6 linked regions of the Oryctolagus cuniculus genome follow. The protein of the gene in region 1 purifies or fractionates together with the protein of each later gene. This does not show direct contact. Links are inferred from orthologs where the notes say so. Each region holds a gene or a part of one and is shown in the gene's direction. Other genes may lie near its edges. The genes, in order: PLRG1, SF3B1, PRPF19, XAB2, SF3A2 and SF3A1.

Region 1 (3,500 bases):
TACCTAGCCTTACTGTAATTGAGAAAGATGAAATTCAAGGACAAATTGAGTAGCCCATAACAAAATGCTCGAGGCCAGACGTGTTTTGCATTTCTGATTCTGTTTTTTCAGATTTTGGAATATTTGTGTATGTGTAAATCTAAACACAAGATTCTTTATTATGTTTCGTATATACCTTTTATTGATAACCTGAAGATAATTTTATTCACTGTTTTTAGTGTGCCTGCTTCACATGAGGTTAGGTGTGGAATTTTCGGTGTCACATTATTTCAGTATTTTAAGTTTTAGAGCATTAAAATCTAAAAATCTAAAGGTTTTAGATTTTTGGATTATGGATACAACTTGTGCAATTGTAATGAAGAAAAGACTCTAGATTCCACAGGAAGCCATTGCCTTTTGCTTAGAAGAAAAACTGGAGTGGATTGTCATTTAATAAGCTCACTCTGTGGCACCATCACTGTAGCAAATGCATGAGCCTTTTTGAACTCATGTCAGCAACTGGGCAAGGACGTAGCCGTGTACATGATTTATAGAGGTCAAAGCAAACATGATGGACTGGGCATTTGGCCTGTTGGTGAAAACACCACTTGGGATGCCTGCATCTCATATGAGAGCCTGGGATGGAGTCCCAGGTCTGCTGCCAGTTCTAACGTTCCTGCTAAAGTGTAGGAGACAGCAAGTGATGACTCATGAGACTGTGTCTGGGCAGCCCGTACAGGAGACCTGGCTTGAGTTCTCAGCTACTGGCTTTGGCCTGGTCTGTCCCTGGCTATTGTGGGCATTTTGGGGGTGAAGCAACAGATGAGAAATTCTCTCTGCTCTCAAATAACATGTAAATAATTTTGAAAATATGGTCAATATCTTGTATATCTGAGATTGCAGTTTAGTTGGGAAAATTTGAGAAATCCAGTTGATGATATGGATGTATTTAAAAAGATAACTTGTGTATAAGATAAATTCACCATTGATTAATTTTTCTTTTTAGGACAAGAAGTTGAGTATTTGGTGACAGGTACACATCCATACCCACCAGGACCTGGTGAGTGAACTATGATTACAGAAATTGTCTTATTTTATTGTCACAAATATTTCCTTGAATGAGGCAATAATGACATTCGAATTACCTATAGAATACAGGTTAAACTCAACAGCCCGGCATCCACACATAGCTTTTTAGAATATAACTAACTAATATTTATATACAGTAATTTAGCAAACATTATTAAACTCTTATATTTTTTCAAGCATTGTGCTAGGAATTCACAGACGATAAAACTGCTCCAAGCCTAGAGAAATTTGTTGGCTGGTGGTTTAGAAAGGCATGTAAATATCACTGACCACATGAATGAAGAATTGTTAGTGTTGAAATATGTACAGTGGGAAGGTGTCCCCCGGGTGTGTGTGTGTGTGTAGAGGGGTTGGCACATGGACACTGTGACTAGCATAATAGGGTATGGCACAAAGAGCTTAATATTGTAGAAAATGCAAGGGAGCTGGCTGCTTCTGATGGTAGTAACTTAAATTCACTCCTAGAAGCTCAGTATTTAAAGAAATGCTTGGTTTTTACTGTTGAAGGTAATTCTGGAATTTCACAGAAATTTAAACTTGGCTTTTTTGGGCTGCTTTAATACCAAGCTGCTTATGAGCAGGTCAAACATGAGGTATGTGGTAAGTGTATTTATTGTTAAAAACAAAGACAAGCAAAATTTCATCATCCAATTTTTGTGATATCACCACTTGAAGACAGTAACTTGTGTATGTTTTCCTCTGGTGCTTTATTTCAAATGCATGTAAATGAAAACAAAGATAGCTATGAGAAGAGTTTTTTTTTTTTTTATGTTAATAGGGGTTGCTCTGACAGCAGATACTAAGATCCAAAGGATGCCAAGTGAATCGGCTGCACAGGCCTTAGCAGTGACGTTACCTTCTTCTCAGACCAGGTATGAAGTGCTGTGCGTGTAATTGTAAAGATTTTGGAAGTGCATTATACTTTTCACACTTTTTTCGTTATTTACATTTGTTTCTTTATAACACATATTATATGATATTTTCCTTTGTCAGGGCTTAGAAAAATTTGAAATAAAAGGATTGGTTTTGCAGGATACATGGTGGAGGCATTGCTCACAATGTGCAATTTTCTTTGTCTCAGGGTTGATGCCAATCGTACTGCACCTGGCGGGGGTGAATACCGACTTCCTGGTGCTTCGGATCGCACACAGCCTGCAGTGGGGAATGCAGTAAGTTTCCCTGTGTCAGATAGCACTAAAGATTTCCAGCTCTCAGAGTGTGCTGCCTTATTTATTTTTATCCCAAAAGTCTTACCTTAAATATTAAAGAAATGAACACATCCTTGGAATTAAGGTAAATAGCATCCTCAGGTAGTTGTTAATGCTTCATATCCCTAAAACTAAGTTGTTAGTAAATAAGCAATTTTTTTAGAATTTAAAATTTTGTATTTCTGTGTCCATTTGCACATGTACATACTATGTATTTGGTGTGATATTGATATTAAAAATGCAAGGAGTATTATTCTGAAACTTGGGTCATATTTGAAAGGTTTTTTTTAATTAAACTTTAAGATGATGTGCACAGGTACAGTTGAATGCTAATGGTGTGTAAAAATTTATGGGCTATAAAACTTGTCTTAAAAATGAACATTTAGAAATACATTAATTTTATCTGTGAGTAAATGACAATTGGGGCTAGTATAAGTGAGAATTGTAGAAAGAACAACTGAAAATGTGCTATTATCTGAAATAAGTGTGGGCTTGGCTTCCTCAGTTTCCTTTGCGGTTGATTTGGCTTTATGAAGTGAATGTATTTGTGACTTTCATATGCCTTGTTTTTCTTTTTAATCTTCCATTTTCCAGGCTTTCTGTCTCTTCATGAGGTTGTAATTTAAGCTTCTTAAGGGCAGGAACTTTATGGGCTGAAATATTTTGGGGATGAATAGATAGATACTAATAATATATTTTAAAAGTTATCAGCTAGTTTATCTTTTGAAGTAATGTTTAAATATTATATTAAAAGGTTAGTAGGAGCTGTCAGTCTCTCCTTTGCTATATTGAATCAGTAATAATAAAATTCAACAGTGGAAATACACTTAAATGACTTCGGTGACATGGGAGCTCGCATAAAGCATGTACAGTATTTTAAATCTTTATAATAACCCCATGATACAGCACTGTTCTTCCTGTTTTGCAAACAAGGCGGCTAGTAGGCTTGCATTTTGAACACATACACAGTGATATCTGTGTGTAAATGTTCTGCCTCTCTGGTTTTTTTTTTAATTGGTTTTTAGAATTAACATACAGAAAATACAGTACTGATAAATATCTTATTTTAGCTTCCTTTTTTTAATTGATCACATGAAACCTTTGGTGTGATATGTTTAATATAATGTAATTTATTCCATATCTAGATGATTGTGGAGACTGGCAATACCAAGAACTCTGCACTAATGGCTAAAAAAGCCCCTACAATGCCCAAACCCCAGTGGC
Region 2 (3,363 bases), on another chromosome or scaffold:
CTCACCCCATTTTTAATTACTTTTCATATCTGTTAGACAATACTTTTTTTTTTTTTTTTTTTTTTGACAGGCAGAGTGGACAGTGAGAGAGAGAGACAGAGAAAGGTCTTCCTTTTCCGTTGGTTCGCCCCGCAATGGCCGCTGCGGCCAGATCCGAAGCCAGGAGCCAGGTGCTTCTCCTGGTCTCCCATGCAGGTGCAGGGCCCAAGCACTTGGGCCATCCTCCACTGCACTCCTGGGCCACAGCAGAGAGCTGGCCTGGAAGAGGGGCAACCGGGACAGAATCTGGTGCCCCGACCGGGACTAGAACCCGGGATGCCGGCGCCACTAGGCGGAGGATTAGCCTGTTGAGCCACGGCGCCGGCCAGACAATACATTTTGAAAAGCAGTAATTGATCGTTTGTTTTAAAAATTAGTCAAATATAATTAGAGGAAATGATAAGCAATAGTTAACATGGCAGAGACCTGATCTTCATGATTTTTATTACAGATTAAAGAAATTTCGCTTAAGCTTTTGACCTACTGAATATGGCTTGCCAGAACCACACTGTTTTCCATTGCAGACCCCTGGTGGTTCAGTTGGTGTCTCTCAATACAGTATTACTCAAATTAATTTGACAGATTTCTTTCTTTCTTTCTTTCTTTTTTTTTTTTTTTTTTTTTTTTTTTTGACAGGCAGAGTGGACAGTGAGAGAGAGAGACAGAGAGAAAGGTCTTCCTTTTGCCGTTGGTTCACTCTCCAATGGCCGCCGCGCTGCGGCCGGCGCACCGCGCTGATCCGATGACAGGAGCCAGGAGCCAGGTGCTTTTCCTGGTCTCCCATGGGGTGCAGGGCCCAAACACCTGGGCCATCCTCCACTGCACTCCCTGGCCACAGCAGAGGGCTGGCCTGGAAGAGGGGCAACCGGGACAGAATCCGGCGCCCCGACCGGGACTAGAACCCGGTGTGCCGGCGCCGCTAGGCGGAGGATTAGCCTAGTGAGCCGCGGCGCCGGCCGACAGATTTCTAATACCTTGTACCATTTAGACCGATGTAACCTTAAACACAAAAGTAACTGTAGGTGATGTTTATGAAGCAAAGGTGGAGAACCTTTTTTCTGTCAAGGGCCATGTAGATATTTATAACATCATTCACAGGCCATAAAAAATTAACTTAAAAAATTAGCCTGATGTAGATTTACTGAGTTTCGAGTCCTGCCTATGATTGTCTTGGCAAGACCAGACCAAATCATTTTGCAGGCCTTGTATGGCTGGTGGGCTATACCTTCCCCATCACTGGCATGAAGAAAAGAAGAAGGTCCATATAATAGGGCAAAGAATTGTTTCACTGGCTCATTATTTTACAGGAGAGATAAATTACTTAAGTTAGAGCCCATTCAGTTTCTATTATGTGCAGATTAAAGATAACCCATTGGTGACCTTCTAAGAGGGCATTTTAACTGTAATTGACAAATTATCAGAAGCTTTATTTGCAAGACATGGAGACAAAATAAGAACTGTTTTCTGGAAGAGGTTGGCCACCTACTGTGGAACAAAGTGAGGGTGAATCATCCTTGAAGTACATTGTTTGGTGAGAAGTACCTGAGCATCATAGGGTCATTGATAAATGTGAGCTGCAGTTAAAAATTATGTTCTGTGTACTAATAAGGTAGTAACTCCATCAAAAATTGTGAAATCAGACGAATCAATACTTTAGTGGGGAAAAATTATGAATGAAGAACTTTGACACTGAATAAATCAGACATTATAATAAATGAGAACAATAAGGATGTTAGTAAATACAAATTGTTTTCTTACACCTTGAGGTGTTCTTACTATCTTTGGGGCAGAGTGTGTGAATTCATTTTTTTTATTTTTTTTTTTTATTTTATTTTTTTTTTTTTTGACAGGCAGAGTGGACAGTGAGAGAGAGAGACAGAGAGAAAGGTCTTCCTTTGCCGTTGGTTCACCCTCCAATGGCCGCCGCGGCCGGCGCGCTGCGGCCGGCGCACCACGCTGATCCGATGGCAGGAGCCAGGAGCCAGGTGCTTTTCCTGGTCTCCCATGGGGTGCAGGGCCCAAGCACCTGGGCCATCCTCCACTGCACTCCCTGGCCACAGCAGAGGGCTGGCCTGGAAGAGGGGCAACCGGGACAGAATCCGGCGCCCCGACCGGGACTAGAACCCGGTGTGCCGGCGCCGCTAGGCGGAGGATTAGCCTAGTGAGCCGCGGCGCCGGCCGAATTCATTTTCATACCCATCACAAATCTGATTGTGTTACCTGATGCTTATACTCAATTATAGAAGGATTTTGATTTGTCATAAACATAAAATCAGTTAACCTAGGAGATGATGTTTTTATGTAGGTTTTTGTATAGGTTTGAAAGAATTGTTTATCTTTTTTCCTCTCTAGAAATTGAGTCTTGAATTAAGTTTCTAAATTCTTATGAATATTTCCTGTAAAACTAAGGAACTAACACTATCTTAACAATGAATTCTTTCTGTCCACTGCAGGGACCTTGTACACAGGCAGACAGCTAGTGCAGTGGTACAGCACATGTCACTTGGGGTTTATGGATTTGGTTGTGAAGATTCACTGAACCACCTGTTGAACTACGTATGGCCTAATGTGTTTGAGACATCGCCTCATGTAATTCAGGCTGTTATGGGAGCTCTGGAGGGTCTGAGAGTCGCTATTGGCCCGTGTAGAATGTTGCAATATTGTTTACAGGTAGGTTAAAGTTTTTTTTAAAAGATTACTCAACAAGAAAAGTAATTCTGTTCAAAATACTAAATTAAGTTGTTATTCTGATTATTGAAAGGATGTATTGTGTCCATAAGGGGAGGCTTAGATATTATCTTTGCCATTGTAATTTTGTTTTAAAAGATTTATTTTATTTATTTGAAAAAATTACAGGGGCTGGCGCTGTGGTACATCTATGGCACTGGCATCTCGTGTGGGCACTGGTTCGAGTCCCAGCTACTACTCTTCGTATCCAGCTCTTTGCTATTGCCTGGGAAAGTAGAAGATGGCCCAAATATTTGGGCTCCTGTTACCCGCATGGAAGACCCAGAAGAAGCTCCTGGCTCCTGGCTTTGGATTAGCCCAGCCTTGGCTGTTGTGACCATTTGAGAGTGAACCAGTAAATGGAAGGCCTTTCTCTGTCTCTCTCTGTAACTCTGCCTCTCAAATAAATAAATAAATAAAATCTTTTAGGGGAAAAAAAAAGGGAGAGAGAGAGGTCTTCCTGCCACTGGTTCACTCCTAAGCTGGCTGCAACAGCTGGGGCTGAATCGGGAAGAAGCCAGTAACCATGAGCTGCTTCTGGTCTGCCACATGGGTCTAAGGGCCCAAGCACTTGGGCCATTTTCTGCTGCTTTCTCA
Region 3 (4,080 bases), on another chromosome or scaffold:
ATTGGCTTTGATTTCCATTAGAGTCAGGCAACACTCCCACCAACAGAACAAAGGAAGTGTCCAAGGGTTTGGGCAGAGGAGGTTGGCTTCATGGAGTTGAAAACAAAACAGAAAGAACAAAATGTGAATTGGTAACCCACTTTCCTTGGAGGGCGGGGACAGGGAGACTGAATAAGGTAAAAAATGATGGATTCATCAGCACCAGATGACTTCAGGTCACTGTTTGTAAGGATTAAAGCAGAGAGCTTATCAGAACCGTCATTATGCCTGCTTAGGGAACTTGCCCTGTTTAGGGACCACACTGGGTTGTTTAGGGAACATAGCTGTTATCTCGGTTTAGTAACTGCTTGAAAGATCAGATAACAATTCAGTTTGGGTTTGGCAACATGAACAGCCTCATCGTAAGGGCTTCCATCTGACCTGGTCCGTCAGGGTGCAGAGCAGAAGCCTCTGTGGTCTTCATGTTAAATATACCCTTTTCAGTAAAAATATAAAATCAGGAAGAAAAGAAACATACCCTGGTTATCACTTCCTCTATTTACAGCCGAAGAAACAGAGGCGTAGAGTCCGTACCGTGGACCACCTGTGTGGAGCTGGCATTTGGGCACAGTTTGACTGTCGAGTCCACGCTCTTGCCCCCTCCGCCATTAATTCTTCTCCCCAAGCCTGTGCTCACGCTGTTGCCCCTTCTAGAATACTCCATTCTCCTTCTTCTCTGACAATGCCCACCTGCGGAAGTCCAGCGCAGAAGTCTTCGCTGACCACACCTGTCCGTCCTACACCTTTGTCTGCTTCCCTACGTGAATCTCGAGAATATCCCATTTTACTGATCCCCACGAAGAACCAGACACTATCCGAACTGCAAGGGACCTAGAAGGACGAAGGGGCGGTGAAGCCGGCAACTTGTCTAAGACCACCGAGCAAACTGTGGTAGGAGTAGGGCCTTCAATTTCTTGGACAGTGTTCCTCTCCCTGTGCTTTCTTCACCAGGTCGGCCAGCAGTGTCTCTCAAAGGGCAGCCCAGAAAACACCTGCCTCAGAATTACGTGAGGCACTTTCAGACTTTCTAAGGCAGACCCGAGAAATCTACATGAGATTCGAAAGACTGCATTCCAATAGCTCAGTACAGAACGACTAGCCCTTTAAGTTCCCATTGCACTATGGGAAGTGTAGTTTCGGATCGCCTCTCCGCTGCTTGCCCCGCCCCTGAAGGCTTCACGGAAGAAGCCGAGTGAATCCGGAGACAGCCGATTGTCCCGGGGCGGGCTCTTTCCTGTGCCGTTGCATTCTGGGAAAGGGCAGTTTCCGTTAGGTGCTGAAGGCTGAGGCGCGCGACCGGCCACACTCCCACGTGAAACGCTACGCGGGCATCGCTCCGCGGGGTAGCTCCCTGCTTACCGCGGAGCGTCCGGAAGCAGCGGGGGAACCGGAAGTAGCCCGCAGAGGCGCCGAAGGTAGACCCGGAGCCCTGAGTAAGGCGCCTCAGAGCGCTGCGTCGGCGCCATGTCCCTGATCTGCTCTAGTGAGTACTGGCCGCTGGCGATCTCAGGTCGCAGGAGGCGGGAGAGAGGAGAGGGCTAGTGTGCAGGCCGCTGCGGCGCCGGGGTCGGGCGGAGGCGGGAACGGGCCGCCTGTCAGCACGGGGTGCTCTGCCCCTTACGGCGGCGTGTATTTGGCGCAGTGTTGGCGCAGTTTACTTATCACCTCAGGTTTATTGTCGCAGGGGTCACTTGGGCCCACTGGGCAGGCCTGGGCAGAGGAGCTGGTGCAGGGGAAGCCGCCGTGGTGTAGGAGCCAGGAAACCTGAGGATTTGTCCAGCAGCAGCCTTCGATCGGCCTTGCGATGTGGCGCGAGACGCTGGGCCTCAGTTTCCCCGTCTGCGAGACTGAGAGCATTGCGTTGGGTCTCGTCGGAGGTCTCGCACGGATAGTTGGAGCCTCTGCAGTTTGCGAAGGTCACGCAGGGAGCGAGAGGCCGACGGGGCTGGAAGCCAGGTGTCCGGCTCCCAGCCGCGCGCTGTGCATGACTGATAAAAAGAGCACACACATTGGTTTACAGCACGCTTCCAAGCCCACGATCTCGTTTTGTCCTCGCAGGAATTCCCTGCGGGAGGCGTACAAATGGGACTGTAGGGCTCGGGAGGAGTGGGGCTCCTGTGGAGGGGCACAGCCAGTGCCCGCGAGAGCTGGTTGATGGGGCCAGACTGACAGCGGACCGATTATTGTCTGGTGCAGACGACTAGGCCCAGGCAGTCATAGTGAACAGTGTCGCAGAGCTGCCTTGAAGAGATTAAGTGACCTCCTCTGCCCGGAGACCTTCGGCCTCTCCCGACGTGAGCCAGTCTCCCCTGAGTGATGAGATTCCAGAGGACGCATCCGTGATCCATGTATTTCTCTTGGAGAGCCTGTGTTGGGATAGATAAGGAATTCAGCGATACCTCCATTGCCACCACGCTTGGGTTGGGGGTGCAGAGAGAGAGGGGGCAAGAGACACTGAGCCTCAGCCTGCTTCTGGTTAGTCCAAAGTGTTGCCCATGCCGGACTGCCACACCTGGAGGTGCCCCCTCCTGAGCCCCGGCCCGAGCCTGCACTCATCCACCCGATTTGTTGGGTGCTGCAGGGCGTCTGCGTTGGACTGAAGTACCAGACGGGCTGTGCTCACTGCCCTTCAGGGGGGCACTGTCTCCCAGGGCAAGAATGTGTATGAGAACTGCTTGGAGGTTGTTGGGGGGACAGGTGCACCTGTGTGAAGTGCTTAGCATCCTGGCCGGCACGGAGTGAGCACCGTGTAAATGGTTCTGGTACCCTGGTGTCTGTCATGCTGCTGTGTAGTCCCTGTGTCTCCTGATCCAGTTAGGGTTGTGACTGAGGTGGATGGCAGCTGCCTGAATGGCTTCACACGCTCTCCAGGGTGTGGAGAGTAACTCTCTGGTGTGGGTCCCCAACTACCTGTTGAAAATGAGATGGCAGGGCTTATTGACTGCATTCTGGGTGCCCAGTGCATAGGAGCTGTGTAGTAGTTAATTTTTGACCACCCAGGCTTTCGAGAGACCAATGGAGAAGCCACATAGGTAGCTGGAGAACATTTAGGGGCTAGCCTAAAGCTGCCTTGGCATCATGTGCTTCCCCTGAGTTGAGTGGATGTGGGGACTTGTTGGGCTGGTGGCAGTTAGGAATCCCCTCGGCCCCAGATTGTCTTTCATCCCAAGCCTACTGCCTGCCTTTCTCTGCAGTCTCCAATGAAGTGCCAGAACACCCGTGCGTGTCCCCCGTCTCTAATCACGTCTACGAGCGGCGGCTCATAGAGAAGTACATTGCTGAGAATGGTACAGACCCCATTAACAACCAGCCTCTCTCCGAGGAGCAGCTCATCGACATCAAAGGTACCCGTTGGTCGGCCTCAGTGTGGGCCTCTTGGCTCAGAACCTGAGGTTGGGGTAGGGGGGTTGCCTGGGTTACAGGTTTTCACACCTGACTTTCCTCTCTTGGCAGTTGCCCACCCAATCCGGCCCAAGCCCCCCTCAGCCACCAGCATCCCAGCCATCCTGAAAGCCTTGCAGGATGAGTGGGTAAGTTCCTGGGAGAAAGCTGATGTCTCCCCCACTCAGAGAGAGTATATCCCTGGACTAGGACGTGGGGTGGGGGAAGGCAGCACAGGGGGAGCTTGGTGGTGAAGTCACACAACCTGGATCCCACGCTTCTCTCTCTCGCTCATGAGCAGTGTGACTGGATTTATTGCTCTGAGCCCTGATTTTCCTGACTGTATCACATAGATTGGTGCCTGGCTTAGAGTTTCTGAGGCGTAGAATAAAACTAGAGTGTCCACTTAGTGACATCAGGGGAGTACTTTTTTTCATCAGTGTTTTGCCAGCACCGAGAGCAGTGTCTGGGACATGGTAGGTACTCGGTAAATCCCAGCGAGTGAAGGAATGCGTGCGTGCATCTTGGGATGGGCACGTTGTCTCACACGATGAAGGTGGTCAATCCACAGCAGTAGCATTATCTCCTTTAGAGAGACAACAGTGTGACGTCCATGACTGACCAGTAAATTAAAGAGTATGGTGATGGGAAAGAGCTGGC
Region 4 (4,216 bases), on another chromosome or scaffold:
GGATCCTCTCTTTGAATTCTTCGAGCTCTTGGCGCTGGGGGAGGGGAAGCAGGTGGGCACGCGGCTCGGGACCTGGGCCCCTCTCCCACCATCTTCTCCCCTACTTCCTCAGGCCACGGCTTCCATGTCCAGTGGGGACCGCCCCACCCCCACCATCACAGCCAGGGGCACCTGGGGGGAGGGGGAGTAGCTTGCTTACCTGGCCCTCCTTTTCCGGTGGCCACAGCTCTCTCTGTGGGGACAAAGTCACAGACAAGGGCGCGGGCCAGGAGCTTCCCCAGCCCCGCGCCCAGGGCAGTGCTGAACCAAGAGAGGCAGACATGGGTCCCCCGGTAGGTTCCTGTCCCATCCCCTCCCCCCACCCCGGGGCATTCTGACCCGTGAGCACTCCTCCGGGTGCCCACCTTGCGCTGCACGACATAGTCCTCGAACCAGTTGGCCTGATTGGAAATCCAGAACATTGCCACAGGGAACGTGAGGTACAGCGTCATCTGCAGAGTTGGGGGTGGGCGGGTGAGTAGAAGCTGGGATGGCTACTACCACCCCCGGTAACACGCAGCGTGGCTGAGAACGGACGGCCCACCCCCCTGCCCAGCCCAGGTGCTCCAAAATCGCCACCAAGGGTGCAGAAGCCTCCCACCTTAAAAGCTCACCCCACATCACCCCAGAGTCCTTATCCCTGACCACCCTCTCCAGGCTGCGAGTCGAAGACACACATGTGCAACGCACAGGCACACACGCAACTGCTCCTAGCGCCGCAGCTGCTCCTATGACAGTCAAAGGTACCCCCTCGAAACCTCATCACCCACCCCCCTCATTCAGATACCTGGAGCACCTGAAACCCCCGGAGGCCTCTCCGCACGTTTCCTGCCCTAAGACTACTAGGGTCACCCAATCAGAGCCACAACCACGCCCACCATGAGCCCAGGAGTCCCCTCAGGATCTGAAACTTTTCCTTCTTACAGCCCCGTCCTGGGCTCACCAATCCCTACGAGATCAAGGCTCCCAAAGCCCCCAACCCGGGCGCCCCACTCCGAGCCCCTCAACCTAGCCGCCCCCTCCTCTGGATTTCCAAACGTAAAGGCCCTTTCCAGTCTCGAGAGCTTTCTTCCCAGGGCACTTCCTCTCTGTAGTTCCCCCGATGCAGCCTCCCAACCCACACCTGTGCTCACTGACCCGAAACACTTCCAGCTTCACCCCCATCTCCGTTTCTCCAGGTCTATAAAGCCACTTCCGCCCACAGCGGACTCTCCAGCAAGACAGCAGTTCACTGGTGTTTCGCGAAATACACTGCTGATGCTGATTGGTCAATGAGCTCCAGGATGTCGTAATCTTCAGGCGCCTCTACTCGACTTCCGGTCACTGGCGGCGCCTACACGGAAGTCAACACCGAGGGCCGCGCTGTCAAGAAGCGTTCAGCCAATAGAAAATGGGTCTGGCTCGAGGGGCGGGACTTTTCATAGGAGACGTCATAAGTGCGCGACTCTCGCTTCTACCTGGACAGCTAGGAAAATGGTGGTGATGGCGCGCATCTCACGGCCCGAGCGGCCGGATCTTGTCTTTGTGAGTCCGCGTTGGGGTAGGGGTGGCCCCTGTAGGGATATATGCACCTGAATGTCTTGAGGTATGGGAGCATGGCCTTCCGGGGGACTTAGGCCAAAACTGGGAACGCAAAGGCTAGGGGACCCTAACGGGCCAGAGGCCGGCTAGTGATGTCTGTCTTGGACTGGCCAGGAGTAGAGCTCCGGGGTCGAGCCCGGATCCCGGTGGCCTGCATAAAGAACTGCTGTGGAGGTTAAGGGCCTGGCGTCTCGGGTTGAAGGCTGAAATGGCGGCGCACGGGAAACGGGAGGAGGATTCGCCCAAGTGGGCCTTGAAAATTAGAGTTGGTGACCAGGCCAGGGCTCTGATTTCTGGGGTAACGGTTTGTTGCCCGAGCTAGGGGAACCCTGCGGTGTGGAGCTTATCGGGCGGAAGTCTTGATGTCCGAGTAGAGGCCTGGCATCACCCCGAGATTCTTGGCGTCCAGGGGTTAGGGGCTCCGTGTCTGGCCCATACCTTCTGAAATAAAGACCTAGCTTCCAGGTTCTGGGGCAGAGCTGAGCCAGACACTGGCTGTGGGCCAATGACTTAGTAGCTGCACCTGACAGTTCCTGTGGCCGAGGTGGAGATGGCGTCAGGTGCGAGAGTCTAAGCACCTGGCGTTTGGGGAGAGGCATGCAGTGAGGAGATACTGTCCTGTGCTGCTCACAAGTCCGACGTGTAGACCAGGGCCCTGGTGTCTTGGTGACCTGGGACAGAGGGTGGGTGGCGGGATTTGGAGGACTCGAGTCCTGGTGACAGCGTTATGTCTGGAAGCCCGGCGGTCTGAGGAGTCTGGGTGTGTGATGACCTGGCTCGGACGGTGGGCTGGGGGGGCCTAAGGGGTGGCGCTGCTTCCCGGCTCTGAGGGCAGATCTCCCTTCCTCCCGGCCCCTACAGGAGGAAGAGGACCTCCCCTACGAGGAGGAGATCATGCGGAACCAGTTCTCCGTCAAATGCTGGCTGCGCTACATCGAGTTCAAACAGGGCGCCCCGAAGCCCAGGCTGAACCAGCTGTATGAGCGGGCGCTCAAGCTGCTGCCCTGCAGGTGGGGCCCCACCCACCCACCCGCCCCTGCCCCTGCCCCTGCCCCTGCCGGTGGGGCCCCGCCCACCCGCCCCCGCCCCTGCCCTGCAGGTGGGGCCCCGCCCACCCGCCCCCCCCCCGCCCCTCCCGCCCCTCCCGGTCCAGTTACGACAGAACTGGCAGGTGGCTCCCAGGCAGCCGCTCTGCTCGTACCCTGATGCCTCAGTCCGTGCCCCCTGTATTGCTGAGACAGGTCACCCCTCCCTTGTGCCCTGGGGCAGGGCGAGGGGTTGTTGACGCCGACCCATCAGCGTCTGGCCCCTCGTTCCCCAGCTACAAGCTCTGGTACCGCTACCTGAAGGCGCGGCGGGCGCAGGTGAAGCATCGCTGTGTGACCGACCCCGCCTACGAAGACGTCAACAACTGCCACGAGCGGGCCTTTGTGTTCATGCACAAGGTGGGCTCGGCGTGGCTGGGCAGGGGTGGGAGCTCCGTGGCCTCTGTGCCCCGTGGTCGGGCTGGACTCTGCCCTGGAGCTGGGGCCTCTAGGTCCTGCACTTGTGTCGAGGCCCCAGAGGCAGCTTGGCCACGGGACACTGGTGTCTGTCACGGCTCACAGCTGGCTGCCTCCGCCCACGCATGCAGATGCCCCGTCTGTGGCTGGATTACTGCCAGTTCCTGATGGACCAGGGCCGCGTCACACACACCCGCCGCACCTTTGACCGCGCCCTCCGGGCCCTGCCCATCACACAGCACTCTCGGATCTGGCCCTTGTACCTGCGCTTCCTGCGCTCACACCCCCTGCCGGAGACCGCTGTGCGAGGCTACCGGCGCTTCCTCAAGGTGAGTGCATCAGGTGGGCCAGTGCCCTGTGTGGGATGGGAGGAGAGGGCTCCCGGAGACACACAGCTTCTGCTCGTGACTTGTTTCTTCATTTTCTAAGTAGTTTGCTGGCCCCTGCTCCACATCAGCCTAGAACCAGGTGCTGGGATCAGTGTGAATAAACCAGTCCCCACCTGCACGGAGCTTCCAGTCTAACTGGGTAGACAGGTGCATTCAAGCTGACAGCTAAGCCAGGATAAGACCCCAGCCATGGTGAGGGCAGGAGGTGGCTGGGTGGGGCTGGGGCAGGCAGGGTTGAGAGAGCAGGTGCGGGTAGGGTGGGGTGCAGTTTGGGCAGTTGTGCGCCACGAGCCAGCACAGCACTGCTGGGGTGGGGGGATTGTGATGAGAGCAAGGCCTGGTCTGGGCAGGACCCACGGGGCCCAGGCTAGACCGCTGTCATCAAGGCCGGACCAGTGGGGCCGAGGTGGATGGAGGGCTGGAGTGGTCAGGAGTGAGGGAGGGCTCCCGCGGGGCTGGGAGGCAGGGGGGCTGACTGTTGGCCAGGTCAGTGGCTCCAGGCCCAGAGCCTGTACGGGGCGGGGGGTGGCGCGTGTAGCCCCACAGCCCCACTGATCGTCGGTGGGGTCGGGCGGTCCCCAGCTGAGTCCTGAGAGCGCAGAAGAATACATTGAGTACCTCAAGTCGAGCGACCGGCTGGATGAGGCCGCCCAGCGCCTGGCCACCGTGGTGAATGATGAGCGGTTCGTGTCCAAGGCGGGCAAG
Region 5 (4,127 bases), on another chromosome or scaffold:
CCAGGAACCCCTCCCACGCAGGCTCGGCCGGGCCGGGGTCAGTCCAGCGCGTCCAGCCCGGGCCCGGGCCCGGTGCCCGCCGGCCGCCCGTCGCTGGGCGGGCTGCTGATCTGGAAGCGGGCCTCCGCGGAGATCCCGAACTGCTCCAGGGGGTCCTAGGGCGGCGGGCGGGGAGACGCGGTGACCCGGGGCCCGGGGCCGGGAGCCCCGCCCGCCCGGCCGCCCCGCACGCGCCCCCCGCACCTTGCCCGTCATCTTCTGGATCTCATTCCGGTAGAAGATGAGGCTCCTCCGCATGACCTCGTAGCTGCGGGAGAGGCCGTGCCCGCGGGGTCAGGCCGCCGCCCCCGCCGCGCCCGCCGCGCCCGCCGCCCCCGTCGCGCCCGCCGCGCCCGCCGCGCCCGCCGCCCCCGCCGCCCCCGCCGCCCCGGCCCCACCTGGCCCTGCGCAGCGCCTCCGTCCACTGCCGGCACTGCTCCTCGCTGCCGCACTCGAACACGTACTTCCTCTCCGGGTCCTCCAGGAAGCCTGCGGGAGCGGCCGCTGTGGGTGCCCGCGCCCGCCCCGCGCCCGCGCCGCCCCGCCCGGCCCGCGCACTCACCGATGGAGAAGCTCCGCGCCTCCTCCTGGGCGACCCGGCAGCGCTCCAGCAAGAGGGCTCCGACGGGCTGCGGGCACACGCGCCGTGAGCGGGGCCGCCCCGCGCCCGCGCGCCCCGCGCCGCGCCCCGCCCCCGCGCCCCGCGCCCCGCGCCCACCTCGGCCTCGTCCGTGCGGAAGTAGAAGAGGAAGTTCACCACCAGCTTCACCAGGCGCCGCTTCAGCACTGCGGGCACACAGCGGGCTCAGGGCGGCCGCGCGCCCCCGCGCCCCCGCGCCCCCGCCCGCGCCCGCGCCCGCTCACCGCTGCCCTTCTTGGGGCCCCGCATGCCCAGCTCAGCCGCCATCTCGGCCGGCTGCCGGGACAGCGCCTGCAGCTCCTTCTCGTTGTAGCGCATGGCGCCGGCGCTGCCCGGGACCGGGAACGCGCGCTGCTAGCTCTGAGCCCTCTCGGCCGCCGTCCCCGCTCGCGCCAGAAAGATCCCAGGTCGGAGCCCCGGAAGCGCCATTGCGCCTGCGCGCCACGGGCGAGTCTTGCGCGCTGCGACCGCGGCGTGCTGGGGCGTGGGTACACGCCGGGCAGCCGCGACACAGCCGCGGAATAAAGTGGGTCTGAGGCGCAAGCAGGATCGAAGGACCGCCGAGCGCGGGCGGACGGGGCGTTACCGGTTCCCGCCCCCGCCCCCAAGAGCCGACGCGGGTGCGCGCGCGGAGCGCGTTGTGCGCAGGCGCGCCTCGGGCACGCGCATGCGCACACTCGAGGGCCCGTCCTCCCTCCGGAAGTGCTGCGAGCGCCCGCGCCGCGCGTGCGCACTGCGACGTCGTGGCGGCGGCTCCTGAGGCGGACGGCGGAGGCCTGCGACGCGGGGCGCGACCCACACGAAGTAGGCGCGGGGGCCATCGGGGCCCCGGGGCGCCCAGGGTGGGCTGGGGGCGCGGGAGGGAGGGGCCGGGGCGGGCGGCGGGCCCCACGGCGACCCCGGCCCTCCGGAACTCCGCGGCGGGCGTCGCGGGGGTCGCGGGGGTCTCGCGTCCGTCCGGGGCGGGCTCCGGGGTCCGGGGAGCGGCCGCGGGCCTTCGGCTGCTCGGCGGGGCGGGCCCGGGCCGCGGGGCCGCGCGCGGGGGTGCGTGCCGGCGTTCCCGCCAAAAGCCGCCGGGACCCCCGAGGCCGCCCCCGCTGGCGCCTTTGTCGTCGTGGGGGTCGGTCGCGGGCGCCCGGGGGGCTGCGGGGCGTCCCGGGTGCGGACGGCGATGCGGCTGCGTCTTAGATTTCCCTCCCGCAAGCCTGCGTGCCCGGGGCCGCGTCTTCCCCTCGGTCCGCTGTCCGACTGTCCCTTCGCGTGGTTCCCCCTCCCCCAGCCCTGAGGTCCTGGGTTCGCGTCCCGATGGAGGGGCTGTGGGGCCGCCAGGGCTCGTGCGTGGACCGCGGGCGGGCCCGGGTCGCCCTGGGGTCAGCCGGGGGCGGCTCGTGCGTGGACCGCGGGCGGGCCCGGTAGCGCCCTGGGGTCAGCCGGGCCGCCCGCGCCGTGCCCGGAAGTCGGGGTCGCAGGGGCGGGGTCTCCTCCCGCCGGTCCAGTCCCCGGAGGCCGGGCCGGGCCGGGCCGGGTCAGAGCAGGTGCGGGGCCCGGGCCGGCAGCCAGGACTCGGGCCAGTGCCCGAATGGGGCCCGAGCGGCCCCTGCCGTCCACGGGGAGGCCCAGCCCTGGCTTAGGGGCATTGGGGAGTGGACGGCGGGGGGGCGCCAGGCGGTCGTCCGCGCCCCCGTTCTCCCCGACGCCCGCGGCTGGGCCCGGCGGCTGACACGGGAGAGCCCGCGTGGGTGCGCCCGGGAGGGGCTGGGGGCTGCCTCCTGGGGTCTCCGGCCCCCGCCGCGTCCTGAGGGCCCCCCCCGGTCTGGGCTCCGCAGGCTTCTCCGGCGCTGAGGTCCGCAGGCCGGCACCATGGACTTCCAGCACCGCCCCGGCGGCAAGACCGGGAGTGGGGGCGTGGCCTCCTCCTCCGAGAGCAACCGGGACCGCCGCGAGCGCCTGCGGCAGCTGGCCCTGGAGACCATCGACATCAACAAGGTAGGGCCGCCCGCCCGCCCCCCCGCGGGGCGCCCCCGACGCCCCCGACGCGCCCGACGCCCCCGACGCCCCTGACGCCCCTGACGCCCCGCGCCGCTCTCCCCCAGGACCCCTACTTCATGAAGAACCACCTGGGCTCCTACGAGTGCAAGCTGTGCCTGACCCTGCACAACAACGAGGTACTGGCCGGCCTGGTACCCTGCCCCCGCCCCTGCCTGCCCCCGCCCCGCCCACCGGCCGGCCTGAACCCCTCGCCCCCGCCCCGCCCACCGGCCGGCCTGGCCCCCCCCCTCCACCGGCCGGCCTGATCCCCCCCCTTCCCGCCCTGTCCACTGGCCGGCCTGGTCCCCCGCTCCTGCCTGCCACCGGCCTGGCCCCGCCCCCAGCCGGCCTGATCCCCCCGCCCCCGGCCTGACCCCCGCCTGCCGCTGCCCCACCCCCCGGCCGGCTTGGTCCCCCCCTCCCGCCCTGTCCACTGTTCGGCCTGGTCCTCCCCCACCCCGCCTGCCGCTACCCCGCCCACCGGCCTGGCCCCGCCCCCGGCCTCATGTCCCGCCTCCTCCACGCAGGGCAGCTACCTCGCACACACTCAAGGGAAGAAGCATCAGACCAACTTGTGAGTGCCCCCCGCGCCCCCCGGCTGTGACACGGGGGAGGGCCCCTTGACCCGCCCCCCAGCCGCAGGGCCCCGCCCCTCACCCCCCCCGCGGGAGCCCAAGGCCGGGCAGGGGGGCTCCTGCACCTGCGCCCGTGGCCTTGGCCTGGTGTGGAGGACCACAGCGCCCGTCTGCCCCGCCCCAGGGCCCGGCGCGCAGCCAAGGAGGCCAAGGAGGCGCCCGCCCAGCCCGCGCCCGAGAAGGTCAAGGTGGAGGTGAAGAAGTTCGTGAAGATCGGACGCCCTGGCTACAAAGGTGAGGGGGCGGGGCCGCCCGACACCAGCCCTGGGCGGGGGGGGGGGGGCAGGCGGGGACAGGCGAGGCCCTGGGCAGGGAGGGGCAGGCGGGGACAGGCGAGGCCGTGGGGCTGTGGGCAGGCGGGGTCCTGGGCACGGAGGGGCAGGCGGGGCTGTGGCGTGCAGCCCTGGGCCGGCCCTCTGAGCTGGGACCTGGGCCTCACCTGCCGCCCTGGGCGGGACGTGGGGCTGCGGGGGGGCCCCTCACCGGCCCTGGTGTTGCAGTGACCAAGCAGCGGGACACGGAGATGGGCCAGCAGAGCCTGCTCTTCCAGGTGGGCGGGGCCGCGGGGTCGGGGGGGGGGCCGCGGGGGCGGGGCCGGGTGGGGGCTGCGGGGGCGGGGGGCAGTGGGGGCTGGGGGCCCCTGACACTGCCCGCCCGCAGATCGACTACCCCGAGATCGCCGAGGGCATCACCCCCCGGCACCGCTTCATGTCGGCCTACGAGCAGAGGATCGAGCCCCCGGACCGGCGCTGGCAGTACCTGCTGATGGCCGCCGAGCCCTACGA
Region 6 (3,500 bases), on another chromosome or scaffold:
ATTAAAAGTCTAACGTGAAAGGACTTGGATTTTCTCCAGCTTCAGTCATGCCAAGCATATAACTAGAAAGAACTGTAAAAATGTGTGTGTTTAGAAAATAACCAAATCTAGGAGCTGTGAAGGTAGCTGAAGTAACAATTATTGAAGGCCAAAGCGTGGCTGTAAATGCGCAGTATCGGTTTTCAGTGGCTCTGGCTTCATTTCTCCTTTAACACTTCACAGTGTTAAAGGTCTCCAGACCCCTTTTCGTTTACTTTTATTTATTTATTAGAGATCCCACCTGCTGGCTTATTCCCCAAATAACCTGCAACGAAACTGGGAGCCAGGAACCCAATCCTGATCTCCCGCATGTGTGGCGAGAGCTCAGTTATGTGAGCCACCGTTGTGCCTCACAGGGTCTCCATTAGCCAGAAATAGAGTCAGGAGCCAGAGCCAGGTCTCACACCCACCAGGTACCTTGGAGTGGGACGGGGGCGTCTTAGTTGGCATCTTTCCAGCTAGGCTAAGTGCCTGCTCCCAGAACCCTCTTCATTCTGTTACTTTCCGGGTTCTTTCCTTCACCTTGAGTGTTGGCGTTTACTGCTGTAATTTGAGGGCACAGGTGTGTCTCGAGCCGTGGAAGACTTGGAGCAGATACATCCCGGGGCAGAGGTAGCGAGAGTGGTAGGGCTGGGCCACTTTGCTTAGAACACAGGCTGCGTGCGCTCTTTCAGTAAATGCGCACTGAGTGTCAGCCAGCACTTAAGGCGCTGGGATGTAACTGAACAGAGCCCCAGTTCCTGTCCTAGTGGAGTCTCTAGCTTAGTGAGGAGGAGACAAGTGCAGTGCCCATGTGCCTCAGATGGTGCTGCACACTGTGGGGAAGAAGGCAGGGGTGGGGCGGGAGGGGTGCTCCGTGGAGTCAGCAGTAGCCTGAGGAGCACTTGCAGAGGGACAGCAGATGGGTCTCCTGAGAGCAGCTGTGTTCTGGGTGGTCTACCAGGCTTCAGATACGTGTTCCTGCTAATCCTTGGAACGACCTTTTTAAGTCGACGGTGCTGACTTTAGGTGGGGTTGTTGCTATTTTATAGAAGGAAACCAAGTTCCTAGGGCTGAGTAACTTGGCCAGAGTCCCACAGCCAGCTGGAGCTGGGATTGGGACCCAGAATCCCCCGCTTTCCCATCTCCTGCACCTGAGCCCAGGCCAGGAAGGCCCCTTCTTTGTCCCTGGTTGACATACTGACAGGGGCTTTAACTCTTCCGTTTCAGATTCTGATTCCACCCAAAGGCTTATTTACAAAGCTCAAGAAAGAGGCTGAAAACCCCCGAGAAGTTTTGGATCAGGTAAACTCGGTGTGATTTCTTGCAAGCAGTTACTAATGGTACGAGCTCCACCACATGAGTTCCGTTTGGTGCTTGGACACAGGCCAGGCGGCAGCGCCCTGTTCCGCTCCAGGCTTGGAATGCTGGGGTGAAAGGCCTTGTGGCCACAGAACCAAAGAAACCTGGATCCCCTGTGTTTCCCAGCGTGGCACTGCTTTCTGTTCCACTGTCAGTTTTAACAGAGCTCCCTCTTTCTTCTCTGTCTCGAAGGCCACCCCCGGCCCTCCAGTGGCAGATGCCCTTTGAAGCCCTCAGGTTGTCAGAGTCCAGGAGGCACATTGGTGCTGGCTGGTTTTAATTGCTATGTGAAGGCTTCTGTTTCTCCCACTGCTGTTTCCCTTGAGGCCACAGGCTTCCTGGAGGTTTTGCCACCCTGGGAGGCCTGAGCTCCTTGCCAACTCAAGCAGAAATCTTGGGTCCCAGATGGAGGGTTTCTGTAGCATTTAGAATTTCCGTCCTGTCCGGACTCTGGGCTTGCTGTAGTTTGCTTCAGGAAGTTTCCTTTGAGGGCAGAGGAGCATCCTGCTCTTAAGGAGTTGCTGGCTTTGGTGGAGGCCCTGGGGGTTAGAGCCTCCCTGGGGGCTGAGCCATCCACCTCTGTGCCATGCTGTTGCCCCTCCCTGCAGGTGTGTTACCGCGTGGAGTGGGCCAAGTTCCAGGAGCGCGAGAGGAAGAAGGAGGAGGAGGAGAAGGAGAAGGAGCGGGTGGCTTATGCCCAGATTGACTGGCATGATTTTGTGGTGGTGGAGACAGTGGACTTCCAGCCCAATGAGCAAGGTAGGTGTGAGGAGAGCCTCCAGACGGGAGCCAGGAGCTCGGCGCCGGCCCTGCCCTGGAGACCCGGTGGACGTGTTCCCTGGGAGCAGCGGGATCCCCAGCGGCTTTTTCAGTGTCTGTCTCCTCTCTGTTGCCGGAAGACTTCATTTCTACCGCTTTGCCTGAGCTAAATCCTGGTCACCAGATCGTGCTGGGCATCTGAGGGCAGAGAAATCGGACACATCCCCAAGCTCTCGCCTCCAGACAGATGGGCAAGGGGTGGCCTTTGGTAGGGCAGCCCTTTGACTTCGGCTCTCCCTGTTCCAGGGAACTTCCCTCCCCCCACCACGCCGGAGGAGCTGGGTGCGCGCATCCTTATTCAGGAGCGATATGAGAAGTTCGGGGAGAGCGAGGAGGTTGAGATGGAGGTTGAGTCTGATGAGGAGGATGAGAAACAGGAGAAGGCAGAGGAGCCTCCTTCCCAGCTGGACCAGGACACCCAGGTGCAAGACATGGATGAGGTGAGCTCCCGGGCGGGCCTGCGGGTGACCTCTCCCCTGCAGCTCCCGGCGGTCGGGCTGACGTCCACCAGGACCAGCGATGGCCTGGGAGGCGCAGGCCCGGCACGAGGCCAGGCAGCTGCTCAAGCCCAGGCAACTCGGAGCCTCTCTGCAGCTCTGAAAACAGGTGCATTCGCAGGCCAGGATCTAGAAGCTGTGCCGACCCTGTTCTGTGGCCTTCCCCTCGACCCAGAGGCACTGCACTCCCTGCCCCACTGCAGCCCTCGCCTAGGAGCTCCCTGCACCGCCCCATGCGGGTGCATTTAGCCAGCCCCGGATGATCAGCAGTTCCAGAGCTGTTCTAAACGTGGTGTGCACTCCTTCCAGACGGCCCTGCCCGTGCAGCCCAGGCCTTCCGAGCAGCATAGTCTCCAGAGCTACCCTGCTCTCCCCCCTCCAAAAAGAATTTGTGTGCAGCCCGAGAAGAAAGGGCCCCTGTGTCTGTGGGAATTGACTTTTTCGCTCCCTCCCAGCATTGCCCTGTGAGCGGCTGCATTGAGTACTGACTCACGCCCGACACCCCTCCCCAGTGTGTTAAGTGCCCTTGGCCTCTTGGGACTGCCTGGTGCCAACTGCTGGAAGTGCCTGGGAGGAGTGTTAGCGCATGGCCCCCAGCGCTCCCATTCATGCTGTGAGGAAGCAGCTTGGCCTGCTGCCGGCTGGCCTCGGCTGCCCTGCGAGGCTTAGCACGTGGACATGGCCTGGCGGGGGCCAAGACTCTTTGCTATCCTCGGCTTCCGGGGCTTAGCCACAGGGAGGTGGCTCTGTGCCCTCTCTGAGACCTACCATGGCTTTGCATTTCAGGGTTCAGATGATGAAGAA

What was found.
Region 2: the proteins of PLRG1 (region 1) and SF3B1 purify together in Homo sapiens (co-immunoprecipitation; 3 studies listed by BioGRID and IntAct, with this or other methods). This does not show direct contact. The link is inferred for Oryctolagus cuniculus from reciprocal best matches to the Homo sapiens genes PLRG1 and SF3B1.
Region 3: the proteins of PLRG1 (region 1) and PRPF19 purify together in Homo sapiens (affinity purification with mass spectrometry; 8 studies listed by BioGRID and IntAct, counting the BioPlex papers as one, with this or other methods). This does not show direct contact. The link is inferred for Oryctolagus cuniculus from reciprocal best matches to the Homo sapiens genes PLRG1 and PRPF19.
Region 4: the proteins of PLRG1 (region 1) and XAB2 purify together in Homo sapiens (affinity purification with mass spectrometry; 3 studies listed by BioGRID and IntAct, counting the BioPlex papers as one, with this or other methods). This does not show direct contact. The link is inferred for Oryctolagus cuniculus from reciprocal best matches to the Homo sapiens genes PLRG1 and XAB2.
Region 5: the proteins of PLRG1 (region 1) and SF3A2 purify together in Homo sapiens (affinity purification with mass spectrometry; 3 studies listed by BioGRID and IntAct, with this or other methods). This does not show direct contact. The link is inferred for Oryctolagus cuniculus from reciprocal best matches to the Homo sapiens genes PLRG1 and SF3A2.
Region 6: the proteins of PLRG1 (region 1) and SF3A1 fractionate together in Homo sapiens (co-fractionation; 3 studies listed by BioGRID and IntAct, with this or other methods). This does not show direct contact. The link is inferred for Oryctolagus cuniculus from reciprocal best matches to the Homo sapiens genes PLRG1 and SF3A1.

What each region holds. Positions count from the first base shown.
Region 1 is NC_091439.1:11,048,617-11,052,116, reverse strand, and holds part of PLRG1 (pleiotropic regulator 1), read left to right. Parts: intron 1-985; coding exon 986-1,039; intron 1,040-1,846; coding exon 1,847-1,940; intron 1,941-2,149; coding exon 2,150-2,237; intron 2,238-3,421; coding exon 3,422-3,500. UniProt on the Homo sapiens protein: Involved in pre-mRNA splicing as component of the spliceosome. Component of the PRP19-CDC5L complex that forms an integral part of the spliceosome and is required for activating pre-mRNA splicing.
Region 2 is NC_091434.1:42,860,595-42,863,957, forward strand, and holds part of SF3B1 (splicing factor 3B subunit 1), read left to right. Parts: intron 1-2,492; coding exon 2,493-2,709; intron 2,710-3,363. UniProt on the Homo sapiens protein: Component of the 17S U2 SnRNP complex of the spliceosome, a large ribonucleoprotein complex that removes introns from transcribed pre-mRNAs.
Region 3 is NC_091432.1:11,685,777-11,689,856, forward strand, and holds the start of PRPF19 (pre-mRNA-processing factor 19), read left to right. Parts: upstream 1-1,280; 5' UTR 1,281-1,503; coding exon 1,504-1,522; intron 1,523-3,233; coding exon 3,234-3,383; intron 3,384-3,492; coding exon 3,493-3,569; intron 3,570-4,080. UniProt on the Homo sapiens protein: Ubiquitin-protein ligase which is a core component of several complexes mainly involved pre-mRNA splicing and DNA repair. Required for pre-mRNA splicing as component of the spliceosome.
Region 4 is NW_027208201.1:3,941,837-3,946,052, reverse strand, and holds the start of XAB2 (pre-mRNA-splicing factor SYF1), read left to right. Parts: upstream 1-1,416; 5' UTR 1,417-1,512; coding exon 1,513-1,563; intron 1,564-2,481; coding exon 2,482-2,630; intron 2,631-2,941; coding exon 2,942-3,065; intron 3,066-3,253; coding exon 3,254-3,451; intron 3,452-4,093; coding exon 4,094-4,216. Other genes in the region: protein PET100 homolog, mitochondrial, read right to left, coding at 1-34, 200-232, 405-491, 1,177-1,203. UniProt on the Homo sapiens protein: Involved in pre-mRNA splicing as component of the spliceosome. Involved in transcription-coupled repair (TCR), transcription and pre-mRNA splicing.
Region 5 is NC_091447.1:59,110,251-59,114,377, forward strand, and holds the start of SF3A2 (splicing factor 3A subunit 2), read left to right. Parts: upstream 1-1,327; 5' UTR 1,328-1,483; intron 1,484-2,107; exon of another isoform or gene 2,108-2,214; intron 2,215-2,505; 5' UTR 2,506-2,539; coding exon 2,540-2,665; intron 2,666-2,772; coding exon 2,773-2,844; intron 2,845-3,234; coding exon 3,235-3,281; intron 3,282-3,466; coding exon 3,467-3,576; intron 3,577-3,842; coding exon 3,843-3,892; intron 3,893-4,002; coding exon 4,003-4,127. Other genes in the region: PLEKHJ1 (pleckstrin homology domain-containing family J member 1), read right to left, coding at 39-155, 244-307, 438-528, 602-668, 758-825, 904-997. UniProt on the Homo sapiens protein: Component of the 17S U2 SnRNP complex of the spliceosome, a large ribonucleoprotein complex that removes introns from transcribed pre-mRNAs.
Region 6 is NC_091452.1:23,649,577-23,653,076, reverse strand, and holds part of SF3A1 (splicing factor 3A subunit 1), read left to right. Parts: intron 1-1,248; coding exon 1,249-1,323; intron 1,324-1,988; coding exon 1,989-2,139; intron 2,140-2,445; coding exon 2,446-2,639; intron 2,640-3,482; coding exon 3,483-3,500. UniProt on the Homo sapiens protein: Component of the 17S U2 SnRNP complex of the spliceosome, a large ribonucleoprotein complex that removes introns from transcribed pre-mRNAs.